Drosophila melanogaster: one gene and its partners. The protein of the gene in region 1 interacts with the protein of each later gene in a pairwise test. Each region holds a gene or a part of one and is shown in the gene's direction. Other genes may lie near its edges. The genes, in order: Spt-I, Ssk, CG7992 and CG17147.

Region 1 (4,748 bases):
CATCATGGTTGCTTCTGATAGTTCACTTTGAATATTTGGCACTTTAGGCGGCAGAATCGGCACTCCAGCACCTAACTAAACTGTGTGGAATTCGAAATCAGGCAATTTCCATTGAACTCGACCGTTTTAACTTGGCTGTGCACAAAGCGGTGATTTCCGATACGACGGGTTCACTTGGCCAACGAACTATGGATCGTCATGAACCAACTACATATACATTTCCTCAAAGGTACACCATGTCCGTCCATTAGTATTCCGGATGGGATGTGTGCGATAATGGAACGTGCTGGCTACCGGCTTAGTGGAGCAAGCCGGACCGAATTGGTAGGTCCCGCAAAGAAGAAGAAGTAAAGTGATGTGATGTGAGGTGAAGTGAAGTGAAAACCACTAACTGGGTTGGCGCGGCGCCGTGTTTATTATTGATATTTATTTTGGTTTTTGGCTCGTGCCCGGCCAGCGAGTTACGTAAAAGAAAAGCCAACGTCAAAATGCAGCTCGAAAACTGGTTGCTCCACCGATTTTCGCACACACCAAGAGATACTTATTGCGCATTGCAAAAAGCGGGTAAAAGCGAAAATACCTAATCGAGGAAATACTGCGCTGGGATGCATCAATTGTGTCATGGAGTTAGTCGGGTGCATTGCTCGATTTATCTGCGAAAGTGGGCATGGTGTAGACATGGTAGCTTCATTCGAGCGCATCAAGTTCAAGAGAAATAGGAAGTGGCTTTTCTTTGCGCTATTTCGGTTTGCCATTATCGCATGGGCAATGCTAACTATAACTATTTGATTGATAGATAGTGATGTGAAAGGTACTTTGATTGGTAGCTACATAGTATAGTTCATCAGTATCAGTTGGCAATTATTTAATAATATTGTAATTTAAGACGAAATGGAACTTGATAAAAATGATTATGTATATTTTAAATACAATCGTGACTTTGAAAGAAGTATTTCCTTGGGTCTAATTGAATAGTGATATAGGTAAATAGTAAATAATTATATGAAATGCAATAGAATTTACTATATATTAAAACAAGGACATTTGCAAGGAAGAGTGAATACTTGTACCTAGACTAGATCGCGACACATAGCGTAAATTGTTGTATCTAGACTACCAGCCAGGTACACCCAAATATACACTTCCCATCACTGCCAATAGAAAAAAGTGTTAATTTCACAGAAAACGACAGCCGCAAGTGGCTGAAAATAAACCAAGGCAATTGCAAAATACTCTTGTTGTCCAGCTGATTTCACTTTGTGCACATACAAGTATCCGTTTCGATTCGCGTGTAATGTGATAAAGTTTTCTTGCAAAATGCAGAACTAACTATATCTCTTTGTTTACATCGGCTTTTTGCGGTGTTCTTTGTCTTCTCGCGGTTTTTATCTCGCGAACTCGAATTTCAGATGGCGCCAGTAACGCGGCTCATTCACATCGGTTGACCGATCGCAGCAGCAGTTCAATGGAAACTGAATGGATCGGCGGTTTGAATTGAATTCGATTTCGTTATTTCCCACCGCACGGTCACACTGCGATCGCTGCTCTGCCTATCGATATAAAATAGTAATCGATCATATATTTGAAATGATAACTAGAAAAGAACCGTTACGTAGCAAGTTTATTTGAGTTCAGTATCATAAAAATATTGATAAAATCTAGGTAATTTTTAATAAAAATTTAAAATCTGTTGTAACTTGTTGTATTTTGTTGTTAGCGAGTCAGCTCGGTGGGACAGGTCAGTGGGACACGTCAGCGGAACAGGTCGGTGGGTCAGATCGGCGGGACAGGTCGGTGGGGCAGGTGGGCGGGACAGGTCGACAGGACCAGGTTTTTGAATAACAAAAAATAAATAAAAACGTCCCCTAGTTCCATATTCCACTGTTCCTCCATCGCCGCCAATTTGGCGCACATCTTAAAGATATCCGCGTATTGGTATTTTTTAGTACATTCGTTCATCCATCTGTTTCGGCGGATATTTCACGCATTTTGCCTATAGTTAACTGAGTTTTGTGGTGAGTGCTCGATTTAAATGGATATTTAATGTAAGAGAATGTTGGAGAAGGGCGTGGTTGCACATTTTTCGCCCACTGGCAATTAGCCTATGTCAGCATACACACCCAATTGAAAAGATTTCCGTACCGTATGGTCGAATGCTTCAATTCTACATATGTATGGGGCATACCCGCGATAAGAAAGCGTCGGCTAGATGACACATAACTTCAGGGAATTAAGGCGGTTTCAATTGATTTTTCACAGAAAGGGCACGGAACCAGACTGTCAAAATGGTGGCCATCCAATTGTTCAACGAAATCGGCAGTATTTTCCGAAACGTAAGTTTGCATTCGCCTTTTTCACCACATTTAGCTTACTCCAGTTTCTACTCCTTCCACAGACCCCCACGTTTGCTCTCGTCTTGGAGACCCTACTGCTCATAACCGTGATTTGGTTGCTGCTCCACAGACGAGGAGGAGGTCGTCGCCGACAGCTGACCAAGGAGGAGGAAGACCGAATAATCGCCGACTATGAACCAGAGCCCTTGGTGGCCGACACCGATCCCAATCATCCCCTGCTGCACACCCGCGTTGTGCAGTCCAGGGTGGGCAAGCGCATCCAGGTCGATGGACACGACTGCCTAAATCTTGGCTCTCACAACTATCTTGGCTTCCTCGAGGACCAGGAGATACTGGAGGAGGCCTGCAAGTCGCTGCGCAAGTACGGAGTTGGATCTTGCGGACCTCGGGGCTTCTACGGCACTATGGACGTGCATCTGGACCTGGAGGATCGTATTGCCAAGTTCATGGGCCTGGAGGAGGCCATTGTCTATTCCTACGGCTTCTCGACCGTGGCCAGTGCCATTCCGGCGTATGCCAAACGTGGCGACCTTATCTTTGTGTAGGATTGTCTACTTCACCTACTCAGATTGGCGACTAATTACTTGTTATTTGTAGGGATGAGGCTGTCAACTTTGCCATTCAGAAGGGTCTGGATGCTTCACGAAGCACAATCGTTTTCTTTAAGCACAATGACGTTGAGGATCTAGAACGTCTGCTGATTGAGCAAGAAAAACGAGACCAGAAAAATCCGAAAAAGGCGGCTAAGACACGTCGCTTCCTCGTCGCCGAGGGTATCTATATGAATACGGGCGAGATTTGCCCACTTCCCGACCTGGTGGCCTTGCGTCAGAAGTACAAGCTGCGTTTGTTCATCGACGAAAGCATCTCCTTTGGCACATTGGGCCAGGGTGGTCACGGAGTTACGGAGCACTTTAATGTCGATGTAGGTGGTAAACCGGAAAGAAAAACTAAAATTATAACTGGTATTTTTCTTTTAGCGTGATGAAGTCGATCTGATATCGGCCGGCATGGAGGGTTCGATGGCAACAGTCGGTGGCTTCTGTGTTGGCTCGCACTTCATAGCCGAGCACCAGCGCCTCTCTGGCTTGGGCTACATCTTCTCGGCCTCGCTGCCGCCCATGCTCACCCAGGCGGCTATTTCAGCGTTGGATCGTTTCGAACGAGAACCACAAATCTTCGAGCAGCTGCAGGCAAAGTCTAAGACGTTGCACCAGAAGTTTTTGCGATTCAGCAAGCTAACCCTGCGCGGCGATGAGGTGTCACCAGTGAAGCACTTGTATCTTGCCCAGCCCGCCGAGAACTTTGACAAGGAACTGAAACTTCTAACAGAGCTGGCTGATAAGGTAGGCATTTTATTTCCCCATGCAATTATGAAAACTATACATTTCTACTCACTTTTCCCAGTGCATTGCTCGTGGAGTGGCTGTGGTACAGGCTGCCTACCTGCAGAACAGGGAACGCCAACCAGTCCGTCCCAGCATTCGCATTGCTGTCAACCGTTTGCTGGAGAGTTCGGAAATAGACAATGCGTTTGAGGTCATCGAGAGTGTTTCCAGCTCCGTCCTATAAGCCTTGTTGTTGGAAAGGAATGATCTTCTTTCGACAATGGCCTTGCTGTTAAGTTTTAAGGCCTGCTGGCCCCATCATTTTTTCATCACTTCTTCACGACCAGTCCAGTATGAATTGTTTAAGTTAATAGCTAGCCTTGCACTTGCTCTTTGCACTTTGTTGCATTGCATTTTAATGAAAAATTTTAAGTCTAGGAAAACTTTCAAAGATTACACGTTATAGATAACAGAGCTGGTTAAATAAAACTATTAAGTTTATTTGGTAGTTACGTGCCCTTTTATTGGTGTTTCTTATCGCCTGCGCAATCGCAAACGTTTTTGAATATCCCGATAAAGATAAGGGTAATATTATGTGGCATTTGTTGTAAAATTTACAAGAACAACTTCCACAAAGAAACATTCATTATTTATTTATGTTTTTCTTGCATGACAATTAAGATACACATCACACGCTTAATAATAACTAATATGTGGAATAAGCCAGATGGAATGGAAATGCTTTGAAACGATTTGATTGCCAGTGGAGCAGAGCTGTTTCCGAGTGGCGACCTAATCTGTGAGCAATAATCATAACCCTTCGACTTTCAAACCCATGTTTGTGCATTCGATTCACTGATGAACTTGACAACGACGACCCCAAATCATGATGTTGTGCACATAGCGCTCTGATTTCGATGCCGATATGCCAGCCGGCAATCAGCGCCAATTGAGCGTATACGTACTATGAACTTGGGTGCGGTGCTATCAGTGCGAATACGCAACATTTGGCGACAAAAACATGCAATTACAGCAATTTTCGCTATGTTGTTTACATACGCGAATG
Region 2 (3,463 bases), on another chromosome or scaffold:
GACAAATTCCAAATTTAACGTCGCTTGCTTTCTGGGACTCCACATGGGGATTTGAGAAGTGGGGAAGAATCCGCGGTGCTGAGCGGCATTCGCAATGGGGGAACGAAAACAAAGAACTCGACAACCTTTGGCCTTGATTTGGGAAGATATTCCTTTGCTTATCCAGGCATCAGACAACTTGCATTTAAAATGGAAAGCAGATCTATGTAAATAAATCAGTATCCATGTACCTTGCTCAAATTTAATTTTATTACCTTTAATTAAATAAATCTTATTCAATTACTTGTTTTCCCTAAGCAAATACTATTCTTAAGGCATTCAAGCACGTTTAATCACATTTTAAAAACTTGTATACAAAAGAGACAATTTCCGCTAAAACAACATATTTATTTTGAAAAGCTTAGGTTGGAAAGTTAGTTGTATGCTAAAATTAAATTTTCTGAAATGAAATCCAATAATACCCTCGGCACAGCGTAAATAATACTTGTTTATATATAGTACTCATGAATATCAGTGTGTATACTTGCTACTCAATGCGGGTCATAAAAAAAACCCTTGATGAGGTGTGATCTCATGTTTGTTCCATGTTCTGAACTTATGATTTATACAAGCACATTTTAATGTCGGCCTTAAATACAAAACACAGGGCACGAGGTGCCAAATGTGCAGTATAGTTAATTTCCCACGCCCTCCAAACTTATGCAATTATTCATTTGTCCAAAAACCATATGCATCCATTTTCAATTAGTTTTTAAACATTGAATTTAGAAACAAGGGACTGTAACTATTTCTAACTAAGTTCTTTCTTTTCTTCGTGACCTGAAAATTGTTTGCTTTTCATGTTACACAGTGTTCTTAAAACGCACCATTCATCCAAGAGTTGTATTTTTATACACCATTTTACTGTGATAAATAGGCAATATGTAAATCGAGGAACCCCACATCAACCGCAAGTTGCTTTTTTGCTCCCCAATTGCTCCTATCATTTTGCATTGTGCTCTTCCAATTGATTCGAAATCTCGAACATGGGCCACCTACAGCCACGATTATTGTGCTAGGGTTGTGATAATTGAAATGCAGATTAGGTTCCAGTGACTTTTTGTGTGTCTGAGACTTTTTAATCAGTAGCTGGAATCCACTGGGCTATCGATCATCGGAATCGTGACAAGGTCAGTGAATTTTTAATCTGTTCGAGGGATGCACCACCGGGAGCTTTATCAGTGGGAATGGGAATGGGTCACCACGAAAGTATTTCAGAAATACATCGATGACGCAAGAATAATTGTTTCCGGTCTCTCAGAGCCGCGGGTATGTTTCCCCGTTTTGTGGCTTTGTGGCCGCCATGAATAATGTGTAACAATGCTGTGGAAAGCGGCAAATCGGAGCACCTGATATATCGCGATGTAAGGCGACAGAGCTGCGATAAGGCCGTTTTGATAAGATACGCGGGTGGGGCTGGCGCATGCGCATCTGGGTTTCATTGGGCTTCGGAGCCTGAACATGTTGAACCGTCAACGAATTAGTAACCCATTTCGAACGGCACCTGTTATCGTGAGCCCTATCTTATCTTATCGCTGACCGTGTATGCTCTGATTGCAAAAGCTACAAATTCTTGGCGACACGACGAACTGGGCGCGACAGGTTGGTTGGTTGCCTTTCAGTGATATTTTTCAGTTTAGTCGACGAACGACAACGATACGAAAACGAATCATTTCGCTGTAGTTTCCGCGTGAAAATTACAGAAAAGATTGTGAGTGCCCCTTGACTGGGAGAAACCCCTCTGTGAACTAAAGCATTTGCCCAAATTCCAGCTCAGCGATAAGAGCAATCAGCATATCTAGTGCGAAATGGTGTCCGTGGAGACTGTAGGCTCTATTTTCATCAAGGCCCTGAAGCTGGTAAGTTTTGGGCTTCTTTGGTCCCTTCCTATTGAGCAATAGCCTGTTTGTGGTCGCAATAACTCGGCTGATAGATAAGCGCGCGTTTTATCAGTCCTGGCGTATTAGCAATGTTACTCATACGCCGAGTTGTACGGCAAGGCGAGGCGTGGCCAAGAAGTGATTCATTCATTCCCATTCCCAATTGTGACCTCATTTAATTGCTCTCCTGTGCGCTCCTTTTTCGCAGATCATCAATCTGGTGATCATCTTCTTGTACCGTTGGGGCGATGGTGGCGAATTCCTGGGCATCGGCGGCACGTGGAACTTAAACGAGGAGAAGAGCGCCGATGCGGAAATCGTAGCCTCAGGCGTCATGGTTGGATTCTTGATTTACACTGGATGCCACACCATTGCCTTTGCCTTCGGCACAACCAAACATAAGGGGTATGTTGAATGCCGATATTGATTATAGCTGAACTTTGACCCGCATCTTATTCCTTTTCTTGTATTTTCCGCCCTTAATTCCACACTCTCAACTCACAACTGTTTGTTTTCAATGGCTTTCCGTTTTTCAGAGAGCTGTGCGACACCATCATGAACGTGGTTGGCTGCATCATGTGGATCGCCGTGGGCGGAGTGGCACTCCACTACTGGAAGGGTTACATGTCCGACGAGGGATTCCTGTATGTGAACTCGGAGCGTCAAGTGGGCATTGCCATGGGCTCGCTGTGCGTTATCGAGGGCGCACTGTACCTGCTGGACACCGTGTTGGCTTGCATACACTATTCGAAGGGCGACACCGACTACACGCAGTAGAAACTGAATAGTGGGGATACCAATCGCAGCCGCCGAATAAACACCATCCACATTTGTCTTTATACATAGATCGATTTAAGTGCAAATTAGTTATTATCCGCAATCAATTATCAACTATACGTTCGTAAGGGTCAATTGTCGCTGTACTATACACTAACTGTTTACAATTTTCATTCACGTTTAACATCCTTAAATTGGCAAATACAAATAGTTAAGACCACGCCACGGATAAAAGTTTTTGTGCATTTGGGAACTAATTAAGGGGATGCAATGGAATGCCACTTACTAGTAAGTATCAATTGTAACCTAAATCAACTAATTACCATCAGAACCCATTGATCGTGTTGCTCAGTTTCTTTTTTTCTGATATCATTGCAATTAATGAAAGATTATTTATATATATCATACATCATACGTAAGCATTTTGCTAATTTTTGTCAAAAAACGACAACTTAGATTTGTTGACTAAACTTTTCGACTTTAAACTAACACCCAATCGAAATTTCATATTCCAAGCGATCTGATACTGATATATTGTAATTGGTGAGATATTTCATTTGTTTTTAGTACTAGTACTAGAGAACCTATTGCTCTCCAAGAACCTAATATTCTTTTAAAGAACTTGATGGAAAACTAAACTAATTGTTTAGGAACTGATGCACACAGGAAAAATGTCAGACGATTCGCAGAATTTGGTATATATCACTCATTTCTTTGCTGAGAACAGAGTTCATGAGTTGTTCAACCAAATCGATGACGCTTCAAGA
Region 3 (4,357 bases), on another chromosome or scaffold:
AACGCGAAGTCAACTGAAGGAATGGGGCTGTTCGCAACGCTGGAGCTGCTGGTAGTTGCTGGTGGTTGCTGCTGCTGTTAGGTGGCTGGTGGGTGGTTGGTGTGGTTGGGGTGGTGCTGGCGCTACGAGTTCGGCCTGCAAGTGCCGGAGCTGTCGTCGCAGCCGAGTTGCGGAAGTGAAAGCCAGGGATAAGGCAGGGCCAAGACATTGGGGTGCCCTGCCAGCGGATAAGCGCTGCCTGGGCCGCCGGTTCGGCTCCGTTTGTGCAGGATGACAGGATGGGTGGGGGAAGCGGCCGTGTCATGGTTGCGCCTGGGAAGCGCACAGGCGCATTGGACACATCCTCTCTCGTCTCGGGACGCTTATGCAACTGAGCGTTTTGCTTGCTCTCTCGCCAGCTCGTCGAATCGCCGTTGGTGTGACGTCGCAAATGTACACTGCCCGAAAGAAGTGCCAAGTCTTGAATGTAGCAGATAATTAATGTAGTGACAGCTTGCTATCACATCATGTCTTTAAGAAAGAAAGCAGACATATATAGTTAAATCAAAAGATACTAAAATCTGAAGAATTTCCGCTTTGTGAGGGTTTGACGAAATCTTTGCTTTCTACACAAATCAAATCTTAATAAATAAGTATTTCACTTAAGTTAGTAATTAATTTCCAAGTCTGATAAAGTTATATTTATATTAAGCAATAATAATAGACATTATTGATTTGTTAATTTCTAACTTCACAACGAATACATGATAAAATGTACTCCAAAAACGCAATCGTTAAGTAGTATTTCTAATATTTTTTATTATTTCTAAAAATGTATATATGTATATAGTTTGTTATGTAGGCTGGGAATGCCATCTTAATATTTATTCGACCATAATCTTTTCGTATACGGCCTTTTATTTTCTTACTTCCTGTCGCAACTCTCTCTCTCTCTCTTTTTTGCTCTCGGCTTCAATCAATTTTCCGCTCAAAGGTAAACAAACTAACCAAGAACTTACCCCCACCCACTTTGGCAACCAACCACCCACCCACAACCCAACCACCCCATTTGCGTCTGATAAAGTACTTGCTGGCATTTAATATTGGATTGAAATCAATTTACCAAGCATTATCGCCGGACGTTCTATTGCCCGTACTCCTATCACCATTAGCCATTTGAGATTAGTTTTAAGCCCTATCGTTGGAATGGCCCAATGGCCTTTGCCACATTGTTTTCTTATGCATATGAAAGGCCAAAAAATTGTACGTTTCCGTGGCAGCGTGGTAAATAGTAGGGGCCCTCAGTTGGGCCAACTGCCAAGGAGCTTATCAACCGGCGGACATCTGTTTATCTGTCCAAGTGGCTTATTCCACTGCGGCATTAGTCACTCACTTTGGGATACACTGGCGAAAAAAGCGCCAGGAAATTCGATCATATAAATTGGGGTAAAAATATTTACATAAAATGGGAAATATAGTACTTCGAGTAATGCCATAGATAGATACTTGCTCAAAAAAAGATACATTCAGGTACAAAAAAAAACATTGATCTATAACCAACGAATTTCTCCACAAGATGCGCAACATAATCGGATTTCCTTTTGACTATCATAATTCATGAACCCGAGCGGAGAAATGGCTAGATAATCCCAAACCCTCAACTTTTCCGCCCGTGTATCCATGGCCACCACACACATGCACCTGGTCGGGTCGGGTTGGCTTATCTTATCGCCTTATCTGCGCCGCCTTCGTCGCAGTCGAATTCTCCGCCGGACTTCCACCGGCCCATTTGCCATTTGTCCGGCGTCGCATCGTAGGCATCTCCATTCCAGCTGCTCGCTAAAATGCTCTAAGCTCCTTCGATAGACGAACCTTCCTCTCCCTGCTGCTGGACTAACTAACGCAAATCTATCGCAAAAATGTCGAATGTGTGGGGCAAACTGGTGCTGAAGTTCTTTAAATATGCGCCCAGCTATGTGGGTGAGTTAGCCACGCCAATGGAGATCCTTGTCCAGAGATTACGTCTCATTCACTTCCAGTCTGCCTGTGCTTCCTGCCCTGCGGCATGATCTTTGGCTATACGATCTGCGCCTTTGTTGCGGAGCGGAACCTCAACGCTGGACTCATTCACTATGGACCATTGATTCTGGGCGCCTGCTGGGCGTTGATCACTGCCCTGGCCATGCTGACGGTCAAGTTCGTGAAGAAGTGCATCGTCTACTGGCAGCCATGGCTGCTCCTGGCAGCCGGAGTCTTTAATCTCATAGGCAGCTGCTTCTACTTTGCCGATGGATTTGGTGAGTCATTTCTATGGGCTATTAATTCGCTTCGAAAGGCTTGTGAAAAGTAAATCAATCTGTATCTATATGGCTGGAACTGGGATGTTCTACATATAAGTTTTGAAATAGATTTCAGTTAACAATACTTGAATTTATTTCCCAATAGAGAGAGAGAGAGAGGCAAAGTGATTTGCAATCTGAAAATGATTCGATCTCGATCTGAGTATGTTGAGCATGATTCAATCTTGGCTAGATTTTGAAATCTATATTCTTAAATCAATATCGTTAAGAAATGTTTTGAATGTATGATTTCAGCGAGTTTTTCCAATTCCTTAATCCCACTATTATTATCACTTCAGACCACGTCGGAGCCTATATATCGTACTTGGCGCACAGCATGACCTTCGTGGCCGGCTATAGCTTCCTGCTCACGATCAGCTCCAAGGGCAGCAGGTCGCTGTTCCTCTCGGGCAGCTGCAGCTGCTACCTGCTGGGCGTGGCGTCCGCCGTCAGCCTGATCGTGGCCTCCTACAGCCGGAATGTAAAGGAGCTGGCCGGACAGACGGTGACCACGGAGCAACTGATCGATGGCATCTATGTAAACTTCGCCGGCACCTACTTGAGTGTGGCGGCCGCCGTGTTGGCCATTCTGGTGGGCCAGAAGGTGCTCCACTTTCTGGGCACCGTCGACCTGGTGAACAGCATGGACAACGACCTGCGGATCGCCAACTCGAATGGCAGCATCTTCGAGCAGCGATCGGAGGTCATCAAGCGACTGCAGTTCTTCTACGTGACCAAGAACCAGCAGTGGAACATAATGCTACTGCTCCTCTTCACGGAGGCCGTGCAGTTCGCCCTGTTCGTGTACTTTGTCTACTGGTTTGCCCTTAATCCGGCCATCCGGCTGACAGAGTTCTCCGGCATCGACGGCATGTTCTGGGTGATCTTTGCGGGCAGCCTGCTGGCCCTCATCTGCCAGTGGTTCCTGTCGGTGAAGGTCACCTTTGTGGGCTCGCAGGTGGCCCTCATCTCCTTCACTCTGCTGGCCATGATCCTCTGCAGCGTTACGGACTCCAGGTGGTCGCTCTGGCTGCTCCTTGTGCTCTTTGGCCTGTCGTACTCGCAGCAGCAGATTCTCCTGCTGGAGGTCACCCATCTGCGCTTCACCGAATGCATCATATGCATCTCGTATGTGCTCAAGTTGATCTGCACCAGCATCGTGTACTTCTACTTTGTGGCGGATGCGAAGAACTCCTACTTCTATGCCACCGACTCGAGCACTCTGATGGCCCAGGGATTCGTCTTTCTCATCATCACCTCGCTGCTGGCACTCGTGGTGGGCATGAAGGTGCCCCGGACGCATCGCGCCCAGCTGCTGGAGATCCAGTACGAGGTGTACGGCATCATCTTTATGAAGCACCAGATCGAGCAGCTCAACGTCCGTTGGCTGAACGACGGCACCATTCCCACCATCAACCAGTGAGCCCGAATTTGAGCTTAGGTCCCCGAGCTGTACACACACACTTTCTTATCTTATCACAAATACTCAGTATTTAATGAATCGAAAATAAAAAGACTTCTCAGTCTTTATCCACATACAATTGGTGACAACAGAAATAGGAGCCTGAGTTGAAGAAGCTATAAATTTCGTCTATATATCAAGGCATATAAACGACTTAAGAATATTAAATATAGAACTATAACTGCTTAAGTCAAATTCTTTGGAAATTAGATACAAAACTTCTGATATACACATTTTCATATGATCCGCCTAAAAGGTTTTGCAGTTGTATCTTTATCATCATTAAAGAGCTGTAAATTCTTTTCCAATTTTCCAAACAATCCCAATAGAGATACAATCAAGGCCTTAAGTGGGTTCCAGATAGTGGGTGTTTGTTTACGTGGTGTAGGTTTATTTTAGGACTAAAACTAGCGTCTTATGGAGATAATCTGGACGGCGGCGGTGTGATCGCGACAAAAGTGGCTGGCACAGGCCGATACGTTCGCACATGGAGTCACCTTGTAGCCACTGTCACCTGGAGGATAATATGCTTAGTTATGCGGGCGTTCCCCATCTGGAGATATGACATGACTCACCC
Region 4 (3,646 bases), on another chromosome or scaffold:
CCCCAAGTCCTGCTACGGCTACTATTACTGTGCGGACGAGGAGACGGCCTTGTACGGCACCTGTCCGCAGGAGACGCACTTCAATGCCACCACCCAGATGTGCTCCCGCCAACACGAATCGGATTGCACCACCAGCACCTTCGAGTACTGCAGCATTGTTAAGAACGGCGTAAACTTCGACAATCTGCAGGGCTGCAATATGTATCACGTCTGTGAGAAGGGCGTCCTGAAGGACAAGACATGCTCGAAAACCTATTATCAGGCCAGCACGGGCGAGTGTGTGTCCAAGGCTCTGGTGGACTGCGATGCCCATCCGTTGCCCACGGATGTCTGCGGCAAGGCCAGTAAGCCCTACGAGAACAAGTTCGTCGCGGATGAAGCCACCTGTCGCGGCTACTTCTACTGCGCCAAGCAGAAGGATGGCACCCCGGACCCCAATCCGGTGTGGAACCAGTGTCCCCAGGACAGATTCTTCGATGCGAGCAGCCAGATGTGCATAACCCCCAGTTCGGTCTATTGCTCCCACGATCGTTGCGACGGTCGGACTGCTAGTTTTGTCGTTAGTGCCACCAAGGGCTGTCGCAACTATCTGAGCTGCTCCGACGGGGTAACCGTGAGCGAGAGGTCCTGCGGCAACTACTTCTTCGACGACCAGCAGGGCGCCTGCACTCCAAGTGTCCAGACCTACACCGCGTGCAAGACGTAGGCATGTATTTCCAATAAAGCTCAGAATGCAATGTGATATTTGGTTAAGGAAGTGTTGTAATGAAGTGCACTAGTTTGGATTCTTTCGGGGACTGTGGAACCTGGATTGTCATAGATATAGATACGCGGCTCTCTAGCGAGTTCGTGTTTATGCACAATGACAAGTTTCTGCTGTAAGCCAGTATCTTTGCTGTAACTCGAGGATCGTAGTTGAGATATATTGTTTTTTTACCCGTTTTTATAAGAACGTAGATTGTTTTCGTTGCTCTAATGCTTAAGATTAGCTACCAAAAAGAACAATAATCTTAAACAAGTTCTAGTTCGAAATTCGAATAAATAATATCTGATGGGTGAGTGAAGAACACCTGTATTTTGTTTAATATTCCTGGAACAATTCAGCTGAAAACTAGGTAAATGAACAAATAGAATTTTAAGAATTCACTCAATCATGGAAACTTTTCTTGCAGGTGGTAACGATGGAATAGCATGGCCTCACCGAGGAGACCATAAATGATAATCACTGTCCTATTCGTTGGTTACAATCAATGTTTTCAAAAGTTCTGATTTTCCAAACAAAAACCTATCGAAAGCGACAGTGAAATAGCAAGGCAGTATATTTTAAAAGGTTGTCATATTTACGGCACAATAACTGCTGACCGTTTAATCGCATCAGCGATAAATATATTTATAGTTCAATTAATTAACGGCCAACAGAAGGTTCATTTGACTCGTAACTACCGTGGGTATACCTCATTAACTAGTGGCACTTTCCTTTTCGACTGAAGTTGCCAAAATTTACTATGAAAGTGAGTCGTTAAGGAATCTGCAGTCAGCTGTCTCGATTTCAATCGATTTCAATCACCAATTACGACCTACTTGAAGGGTTTTACCTCCTTTCGCACAACATTGATAAGATTTGCTCATAAGAGAGGCAATAAAGCGCTGGTATCAGCAGAAGCAGTGGCAACGATAATGACTCCTAGTTAATATAAGATTCTTCCATTCACGAAACTCCATTTAGTCGCGCGTAATTGGTTCCCGAGGCCACATCAAACCACTCGATCTATTCTGTTGCAAATTAAACCAAAGTTTCCCAGCAATCAGCCATGCTAAGTGAGTTTTATGAACCCATTAATTTACCGTCATAGATATTTACTTATACACCCTGATTCAGCCTTTATTTTTAGTGAAAAGTAACAGCTTGCATGCGTTTTTAAAGATACAATTAAAATGTAGAATCTAGATATTTTGTTCATTCATATTCATTTTTATAGGTATATCTTTAAAGGTTTTTAAGCATATCTATATGTTTTTCAAAAGGTGTGCTGTATCAATCTAATATCTCGCGATCATATGTATATCATTCGTAGACCTCAAACTTGGAGTGCTTCTCGGATGCGTTCTCTTGTTGGCTACCGTAGCTCTTTCGGCGAGTGTCGGTGAATACGAGGAGCTGTGTCGCCTTTTCAAGAACGGGACCAAGGTTCGCAAGCCCGGCACCTGCGACCAGTACATTCAGTGCTACGATGGCAACGGCACCGTCCTGACCTGCCCCTCCAACCAGTCCTTCAATCCCAGCAAGGGTAGTTGCGTGGACACGTTGGCCAACAGCAACAAGTACTGCGGCAATCGCTGCGAGGGATTGGATGGCGAATGGGTGGCCGATCCGACCGAGTGCCACAAGTACTTCTACTGCATGAACGGCGTACCGCTGGCGGGGATGTGTCCCGTAGGCCAGCACTTCGATGAGCGCTCTCAGTCCTGCCTGTACGGCGTGGACTCCATGTGCGTGGATGTGAACAACATTTGCGAGCTGGTGGCGGAAAATACGAAGTTCCGGAATGAGAAGGACTGCGCCTACTACTATGAGTGTGACAAGACCGGTAACCATGCGTCCAAGAGCTGCACTGTCACCTCCAAGAAGCGCGAGTATTTCGATGTGGAGAGCGGCAATTGCGTGGAAGCCAATAAGGTGGAGTGCACCGCCCATTCGAAGGAGAACGTCTGCACCAGCAGCACAACAATGACATTCAAATCCGACCAAGCCACCTGCCGTGGATACTTCGTATGCAAGGCCCTCTATCCCGTCGCCGACCTGGATCCACTGTGGACGCAGTGCCCCGAGGGCTACTTCTTCGACGAGGATCGGCAGCTCTGCGCCAATCCCACCACAGTGGTGTGCACCCACAACAGATGCGACGGACGCGGCACGATGCTGGTGACCAGCAGCAGCAATAACTGTCACAACTACATCCGGTGTGTGGACAACAAGGAGGTGACGGAGGAAACCTGCCACTGGGATCACTTCTTCGACGAGACAGTGGAAGCGTGCTCCTCCAAGATCATCTACGATAAGTGTTGCGATGGCCGGGACTAAACAAAAAATAAATTTAACTAAAAGTGCAAAGAAAAAGAGGTAGTTGATTTTTATTGGCGATCAATATATCCGTTAAAAGCAAAGACACTAGAAAGGTACACAGGTTAAAAGGGTATACTAGATTCGTTGAGAAGTATGTAACAAGCAGAGGGAAGCGTTTTCGACCATATGGAGTATATATTCTTGATCAGGATCAATATTCCACAAACCACCCAAAACTGTCACGACCACACTTTCGAACAATTTTTAAATTATGGTTTGGTTTTTAATTTCTACTAATATTCAAAAATATCGGGGACTTCGACTATAGCATTTTTTTTTGTTTTTATTTTGTTTTCAAAACAATTATATTTACGATTTGGCTTGAAATTTCAGTTTTTTTGGGTACAATACAAACATATACTATGTGCTTTATGAGCAATCCATTAATAGCACACATTTAAAATTCAGGTAATTGCCCGTATGGTACGCATTAAAATTAGACAACACATTTCTAATCTTTCTAAATTTAGAAATCAATTAGTTTTATCGTTCTGTTGATCAGTTACCAAAATGTAGAACAAC

Evidence for each region.
Region 2: the proteins of Spt-I (region 1) and Ssk interact in a two-hybrid assay, tested with the Drosophila melanogaster proteins (one large-scale study listed by BioGRID).
Region 3: the proteins of Spt-I (region 1) and CG7992 interact in a two-hybrid assay, tested with the Drosophila melanogaster proteins (one large-scale study listed by BioGRID).
Region 4: the proteins of Spt-I (region 1) and CG17147 interact in a two-hybrid assay, tested with the Drosophila melanogaster proteins (one large-scale study listed by BioGRID).

What each region holds. Positions count from the first base shown.
Region 1 is NT_033778.4:13,166,556-13,171,303, forward strand, and holds Spt-I (serine palmitoyltransferase subunit I), read left to right. Parts: upstream 1-1,942; 5' UTR 1,943-2,015; exon of another isoform or gene 2,016-2,259; 5' UTR 2,260-2,285; coding exon 2,286-2,333; exon of another isoform or gene 2,334-2,395; coding exon 2,396-2,895; exon of another isoform or gene 2,896-2,951; coding exon 2,952-3,279; exon of another isoform or gene 3,280-3,334; coding exon 3,335-3,700; intron 3,701-3,752; exon of another isoform or gene 3,753-3,761; coding exon 3,762-3,926; 3' UTR 3,927-4,189; downstream 4,190-4,748. Other genes in the region: GLaz (glial lazarillo), read right to left, coding at 1-6.
Region 2 is NT_037436.4:20,186,865-20,190,327, forward strand, and holds Ssk (snakeskin), read left to right. Parts: upstream 1-1,657; 5' UTR 1,658-1,847; coding exon 1,848-1,898; intron 1,899-2,127; coding exon 2,128-2,324; intron 2,325-2,455; coding exon 2,456-2,696; 3' UTR 2,697-2,915; downstream 2,916-3,463. UniProt on the Drosophila melanogaster protein: Required for assembly of smooth septate junctions (sSJs), together with mesh and Tsp2A. May be important for barrier function of the midgut epithelium.
Region 3 is NC_004354.4:19,244,656-19,249,012, reverse strand, and holds CG7992 (uncharacterized protein), read left to right. Parts: upstream 1-1,762; 5' UTR 1,763-1,898; coding exon 1,899-1,959; intron 1,960-2,018; coding exon 2,019-2,276; intron 2,277-2,617; coding exon 2,618-3,741; 3' UTR 3,742-3,855; downstream 3,856-4,357. Other genes in the region: CG7889 (uncharacterized protein), read right to left, coding at 4,188-4,294, 4,356-4,357.
Region 4 is NT_037436.4:20,222,212-20,225,857, forward strand, and holds CG17147 (uncharacterized protein), read left to right. Parts: upstream 1-1,720; 5' UTR 1,721-1,811; coding exon 1,812-1,818; intron 1,819-2,075; coding exon 2,076-3,082; 3' UTR 3,083-3,113; downstream 3,114-3,646. Other genes in the region: CG17145 (uncharacterized protein), read left to right, coding at 1-706.